Linked DNA regions of Danio rerio. The main gene of each other region encodes a partner of the protein of the gene in region 2 in a complex. Links are inferred from orthologs where the notes say so. Each region holds a gene or a part of one and is shown on either strand. Other genes may lie near its edges.

Region 1 (3,932 bases), on a different chromosome or scaffold from region 2:
GGAAACGGGACATTAGATGTTGTGCCGATCAATTTCAGATAATGAATGATAGACATTAAAATTGCCACAACACAATCCCACAGTTTCGCCAAGAATAACAAACTTACCCATTGTATTCATTGACAATCTTTAGGATTCGCTCCTTCATTTCTTCAAAGGGAATTGACTCCACGTTAGGGTTGGCAGGCCCTCGTTGCTCTGGAGCCGATGCATGGAAATCCTCCATTACTTTTTCCAGTTTAAATACGAAGTAGGTTTTAAATTGAGACCAGGACACCCTGAAGAGATATACAGCATTCACAGCTCAGTTTATTTTTAGATTTGTCAGTCACAAAGCTGTTTATTATATAACTTACTATTATATGGGCTTTAAATGATTTGGTTGCAATTGTTACATAATGTGAGTAGAGTCCAGGGTGATGTGAGTGGCATAAAACCAGCACGACTGTTAATAACACATTTCAGTGTCATTGAGCAAATATATTTGACAGCAGAAGTATTACAAAGAGATAGATATTAATATTTTTTTAATTTTCATTCATGTATTCTAAAGAGTTCATGAAATGAGAGCAGGTCGGCCAAGTCAGATCTAGTCGATAAGTACAAGGTTTAGTTTGTTTTGGAACAAAACCAAAAGGTCATATAACAACCCACCCTCTGGTGTTACCTAAAAAAGCAGTTATGATTTTTAACAAACCACTAGAAGACAAAGGTGAAAAGGGTTTCTGTGTCCCACTTAGATCACTCATAGATATTTGAATGTACTTACAGGGTTTCCCCAGTCTTTGCAATATGGCACAAAAACTGGTCCAAAACTGTAGACGCTTCCTTCTTCACCTTCTTGTCAAAATCTGCAGGAGACAAAAGCAAAAGTTATTTTGGAGTGCATGCAACTCCAAATCCTGCTAATGCATTTCAGTCTATCAATAATATTTTAGTTCTGATTGACTCCATTCTAGTTCAGACATCACAAATATAAGGAGGAAATAGTCGTTTATTGTTCTTTCAATTATTTGTTCGTATTTTCACACAACTACAAAGCGGCTCTCTTTCTAGATAATCTTCATGCATTAAAACCAAACACAATTTTCTATTCTGAGCGTCCAGAAACAACTATAATATTATGCACACCTTTATGAAAATATAGAATCATTTTCCAAGCACAGATCTATTAACAGGCAAGCAGTGCAACTATGATAAACATCTAGGTTATGTAAACATGTCGTTTGTAATCTTAAACTCATTTACAAGTTCCATAACTTTGTTATATCTTTTAGCCGTTACCTTTCAACAATTTGGAACAATATATATATATATATATATATATATATATATATATATATATATATATATATATATATATATATAATCATTTAGTGATCAAAACCACTTCCACTTCCCTAAAAAATAAACAATATACGTATATAAAAAATAAATATAAGAACGGCAAATCACTCATTTACATCAAATAGGCCTTGATCAGACAATTGTGAGCTTTCATTAGAAATATGAGAAAATATCCTATTCCAAACACACTTACATAAAGCTCATACAGGTACAATAAATAGTAGTATTATATTATTTTGTCACCAAAACAATTTGTACTACTCACAAAAATCATTATTAAAACATATAAATAATAATGAGAAATTATTCATTGATATTTTTTTAAATAAACTAGGCTAAGAGCAGAGCTAAAGTGCAACTTAAATGAAAGATTTCTCGTTAAATACAAAAAGAAAATCACGTTAAAGAAAGAACAAACTCACAAAGAAAATGTTAAAATCATTCACAAGTTTATAGTTAACACTGAACACACAGATGTGTAAGGTTAGAATACTTAATTCAACTCTACATCATAGCAGTCCACTACCTAGTAAACTCCAACAATAGCCTTTTTATTAACGTATTAATAATCCAACCCTCCATTTTCTGACAGAAATTTAAAGTCGTCGTAAAAATAGAAGAATGAAACCTGCTGATCTGCTCTTAACACACAACAGACCTCGAAAAACAGGAAAAGCCATTTAGCCACAGGCCATGCTAGCATGAGCTAACTCACATTAACCAGACAATAACCACATATAACTCCATCCTAAACTCGCCCTGACCGCCTCAACACACGCGACCGGGTACCTTTGAGAGCCTCCAGAAGAGTGTCTATCTCCATGTCTGTGTTGTTTTCCCTGTCTCCTGTTGGAAAGCGAGAGCTGATGGCTGCTGTTGAGCTCAGTGAAGAAGAGGAGATGGGAAACATTTCAATATGGCGGCGACTGCGACGTCACTGCCGGCCGCTCTTCAGGAGCGCTGGCTGTTGCGCAATAGCATGGCCGCGTTCCAAAGCCTAGTCAGCCTCCTATTTAGGCATCATTTCTGGGTGGTTGAACACAGTGTTTTTGTTGCTGTGCAGCAATACCTAGTGAACGTCTCGTGTAGGCGGTATTTTAAAGCAGAATAGTCACATTTCGAGCTAAGTGTATGATCATAAGTGCTGTTAATGTTTAGCAGCCTACAAGGATTTGAAACACTTCTATGTGACTTGAATTATTTAACCTATTTATACCTGAACTCTCGTCTGTAAATTTAATTAAACATTAGAATGACTAATCTGGCTCTGAATTGTAACTAAAACAAAACGTAGCCTAGCCAAATCATTCAGCTACAAAGCCTAGGCTACTACAGGGCTGATGTCTAAATAAATTGTCTGAGGGGTATTTATATTGCACTGTACTGATTAATAATAATAGATAAATATAATACAAACTGTGGAATGGTCATTTAAGTGTACACCCATAATGATATTGAAGTAGGCATCCTGCAAGGATTTGAAACAACCTGACTGAAATAATCAGCCCATCCAGCAAGCATTTTATGTTTTTAAAAGAGGTCTAATAGATGTCCAAAAATAGTCATCTCGGCTAAAACAAGGCTAAATTTGGGCTGTCAGTGAAAATAGAATAGACGTTTAAGAATATAGGCCAAAACTAGACCAGTCATCAAATAAACAGAAATGAAAGACTACACATATAGAGTCTGTCTATTTTACGACTAGTCTAGTTTTGGGCTATTCTTACACGTGTATTGGATTTTCAGTGACAGCCCAAGTTTAGTCTTGTTTTAGCCAAGCTGCCTACGTTTAGATGTCTTTTAGACGTCTATTAAACCCAAAAGTGTTTGCAAATAATAACTGAACACTCATCTTTCTGTCTAAACACGTGACTGTTTCTTGCTCTTAATTTTACAAAATGTACTTGTAACCATCCAACTAAAACATCATGCTAATATTAGGTCATCTTTATAGTGTCTTTTAAAAATGTTAGTGTTTCCAGTGCATAGACTATAGCCTATTGTCTGGGGGTTAATACAATATATTGCAAGACAGCATGGAAATAGGCATCTTACCACGATTTAACAACAACAACAACCTGACTGAAATTAATAGACTATTTATAACTGAATACGTCTCTTTTAATAAGCACAGGTAGGACCAAAGTTGCTCCTGAATTTTAAACTACCATACAAAACATACAAAAATACATTATGCAAAAAGAACTGCATAAGACAATGTTAAAATAATGCATATTTATTCTTTACATTTTTGACATACTTCTGTATAAAAGGACAATAATACATATAATATAAGACATTTAGAAAGAAGAACAGAAAAAAAAACACGAGAGAAGAACATTCCTGGTGCTCCATCTTTTCACACAAACATAACATGAGATGAATAATAGTCTCCAGTTAAATAAATCTCATCACTGATCCCAGACCAGTGACAGGAGGTTGGAAACTAGTCACAAATATAATTAAGCACATTGTGCTAATGAACATATAAAAACACACATCAAAACACACCCATTTTCCCACATTCACACAAAAAAAGCACAGTCAACACAGTAAAAGGCTGCAATTACACAACAAAACTTACA
Region 2 (3,832 bases):
TAAATAGTTAATAATTATTACATATTTAGTAAAATACAATATTGCAAAAGCAATTACATTTTTTAAGCAGTTTTAAGCACTTTATCCAAAATCTAAGCACTTTTTAAACCTTTAAAAAAACAGTAGATTAAAATTCAAGCAATTCCAGCACCTGTTAGAACCCTGCCAAATACTTTGTCTTACAATAGTAAAAAAGGAAACAACTAGAATTTTAAAGCACTTTCAATTCTTGTTAAATACCTTAGTGGTGACAGCTGCCGAAGGGGGAGAGCTCCGGGCCCCTGTCCCGGGAGAGCTAGGAGAACCAGGTGAACCGGGATGAAGGGATGCAGTCGGCGGAGAGGACAGGCTTGCCTTTGGCGAGCTGGAGAAGGACAGTTTAAAACTGGGACTTTGCCGTCCTGAGAGACTTGCTTTCCCTGTCAACACCTCCTTCTCTTCTGAATCTTTCACTTGTGGAAAGTGAAGGAGAAAGTACAAAAAAGTTATCAATCAAACAAACAACACACATTACATAATATTATCTTGCAATCAAGTGGAGGACAATACTAGCTGATCATCACACCATCCTGTAAGTAGCAGTAACATACATTTTTTCCTCTCCATAAATTTGCTGATGGGATCCATAAGGTCCTCGTCATTCTTCATCTTGTCCGACGGAGGCACAACTGCTTCACCATCCTCTAAGTCTTCCTCATCCGTATTAAACCACATCTCCTCCTCGTCTTCCAGTGTCCGTGCATCCCGGCGAAAACGGTGATTTCTCAGAATCGACCGCATACTGAAAATAATCAAGACGACAGGGGAAAAAAAACATAATGGAATGACACCATTTGATACCAATAAAATCATAGCAGCTCAAATTCCAAAAAAGAAAAAAGGTGACAAAGATGCAATCTCCTTTTAAATATTGACTTCAATAGTTTCACAGTTGTTCTTAAAACAGAGGGGGAAAACTTCCTATACAGTTTACTTTTTATTTTATCAAATTATTTTAAGTTTGTATTTCATAAAGAATACATTTTACACTTAAAAAAAATGTTTTGTATGAAAATATTTTTTCCTCTATAAAACAAGATACTGATTTTATAGCCCTATTAAAACTAAAGCAGTGGTTCTTAAACTGTGGTACTTTCATCTAGAGGTACGTGGAGAAATATTGAATAATAAAAGAAAGAAAAAAATGAACACACTTTTAACCCTTTGAAGCAAACAATTACACTAATGTGATCAGTGCCAGCTGTTCCCTGAAGCATACGATCACATCGGTGTGCTTATAATGTTTACTTTAGTTCATCACTCCATCATACGCTAAAAATCAACCCACTTTGGTGCAGAGCCAGAAAAAGAGGTGCACAGCTACAGCGCTTGGAGCAGATATGCGCTAGTGAAGCACTTTTGCAAACCAGTGCAGTGTTGACATTTCAGTTACTGCAAAGTCAGGAATTTCCCCATGCTGCATCATTGGTAAAACAATTATAACAAATGTGTTAAAATGTGTCCATAGTTATGAAATTTAAAGCACGTTTTGATATATAAAGTTTTTGTTATTTTGATATAGAAATTTGTTTTGTAAAGCAGTGTGACTTTCGATTAATTTGTTATGTCAGATTTAGGCCAATTAATCTGGATGTGATTTAAATGTTGCTCAACACAAAACATAGACTCAAGCAAATTCGCCATGCATGAAGCTTGGAGCTAAAATATAGCCCAATTAAAGGCCACTGTTACGCTCCTGGAATTTTGCATGCATGTCTCTCTCTTTTCTCTCTTGCGCACACGCGGACCTGTTCTCTCTGTCTCTCTTCTCTCTTTCAGTTTTAAAGAGTCAACCCCCTTCGAATTGTTATTGGCTGTAGGAGCAGTCAATCATCATTATCTTCAGTGATGTGGTGGCTTCGGCAGTCAATCTGAGTGGTTGCCAGGGTTTTAAAAAGACGACGAGTGGGACGCCGGACAGAGGCTTTTGCGTTCCTGTTTTGTTCTTTGTTTTAGTCTGCCACTCGTTATTTCTTTTGTTTTTTTGTGGTACTTAATATTGCTTTGTCAAAAGTTGTTCTTGCCATTATGTTTATCTTCATTAATATTATTTTTGTTGTTTGTTTGAAATTTTGTTGATATTCTTTGTTTTACCCAGGGAGATTTGGAGAGGTAGATGTCACATGACGTACATCCTTACATCACTTAGTTAAAGTGTGTATAGACACACCAGGTTTAAGAGTGAGCGCTGGCTTTGTATTTTACGGTTTGGTTAAGTTTAGAGTAGGCAAGTTAGGGCTTGTAAACGCCGAAGACTTGCTTTCGATTATTTTATTTCAGTTAGGTTAAAGGATTATACTGAGTTTGATTTTTGTTTTTGTTATTTTCTTTTCTTTCAGCGCCACTTTTGTCCTTTTCCCCTGCGGGGTTTATTGTTTTTGGATTTTGTTATTATAAATTGTATATAATTTAAATGTTTTTTATTTGTTGTCATCTATTTTATTCTTCTTTCTCATAACTATTTTCTGTTTATCTTTGATTTTTGTATAATAAACTATTCTCTTTTTGGCAGTAATTTGCTTGATGCATGGTTCTTCTCCTATTTACAAAAAAACTGTCACAATATGAATGTTATTTACTTCAATGCCTATTCTTACATCATGAAGTCAAAACACCCACCTACCCAGGTAAGAGCAGCGCACGTCAAAGTTCACCATAGATCTACTGCTGGATTTTATCTAATTATAGTTGTTAAATGTGATAGATTAAAGTCATCTTGACTATCTATTGACTCTTTGGTCTTTTAAATCTATTACTTGTTCTCTGGTAACGCGTTTTGGCGGAGCGCAAATTATACATCAATTAATGTAACTACAAACACTGATAGTGCACATTTGACTGATTGCTTGCCTATATTGTATAAACCTATAGTACATTATATTTTTATAATTGATATTACTGATTATTAAAACTGATATTCAACAAAAGAGAGGGTATGTTTCATATTTTTTGAAGAACATTAAAGGAGGCAGTTAAGTTATAGGCTCCGTTTTGTTATAAATATGCATACAGTGAATATGACATAAATATGTAGCTACATGATGCCTTACATTTTTGGCATCTGTTAAGTTGTTAATATCAAAATGAAAGTAGGCAGTTCCTTAGATCATGTTTTCATTTGATTGTTATTATTAAGATAGTGAAACAGCGTAGCCAGAGTGATGTGAATGACGTTATAAACTACACTTTTCCTTGAAGGTACACCCGACATGTCCTTGGGAGTTTATTTTCCATATCAAACTTGCAAAGTCGGATCTTAAGGAAAAGATGCAAAACTGAACTTTATGCACTTAATATTAAGAAAAAGCCTTAATCAGATTGCGAACGTCTGCAGCCATGCCTCCGTTTAAGATGTCTCAGTTTCCCCCATCCACAATGACAAAGAGCAGCAGTGTTGTAAAATGAAAATGGCCTCTTCAGCGTTTTCAAAAAGCTCAGTTTTCGGGGCTTAAAAACTGTAGCCAAACTTGTGTTTTAAAAACTAAAATGTATTAGTGAAGTTTGGGTTAACTGCACACAGAGACTAAGGTCCCATTTACTCTGTCTACAAAAGATGAGATCTCAAATCATAGAAATTTTGTATGTATGAATAAATAAATCATGTATGAATTGGTCAAGCTGTGTATTTTTTGCATGCGATCACTTACTTTTCTGACAAACACATTCATTTTGTTTGTTTTTTTTAACCTATAAAAACAGTACTGTATTAATGTTCAAACTATTTATAATGTTGTATAATGTGGCTGACACTAAGAAACATTCTTATTAATACAAATTAATATGCCTCGTTTTT

The links.
Region 1: smek1 (region 2) and ppp4r2b share a complex: the UniProt entries of both Homo sapiens proteins name them as parts of the PP4 complex. The link is inferred for Danio rerio from reciprocal best matches to the Homo sapiens genes PPP4R3A and PPP4R2.

The regions. Positions count from the first base shown.
Region 1 is NC_133181.1:46,718,394-46,722,325, reverse strand, and holds the start of ppp4r2b (serine/threonine-protein phosphatase 4 regulatory subunit 2-B), read right to left. Parts: upstream 2,261-3,932; 5' UTR 2,171-2,260; coding exon 2,137-2,170; intron 852-2,136; coding exon 770-851; intron 279-769; coding exon 108-278; intron 1-107. UniProt on the Homo sapiens protein: Regulatory subunit of serine/threonine-protein phosphatase 4 (PP4). May regulate the activity of PPP4C at centrosomal microtubule organizing centers.
Region 2 is NC_133195.1:36,337,833-36,341,664, forward strand, and holds part of smek1 (serine/threonine-protein phosphatase 4 regulatory subunit 3), read right to left. Parts: intron 3,140-3,832; exon of another isoform or gene 2,379-3,139; intron 782-2,378; coding exon 591-781; intron 453-590; coding exon 241-452; intron 1-240. UniProt on the Homo sapiens protein: Regulatory subunit of serine/threonine-protein phosphatase 4. May regulate the activity of PPP4C at centrosomal microtubule organizing centers.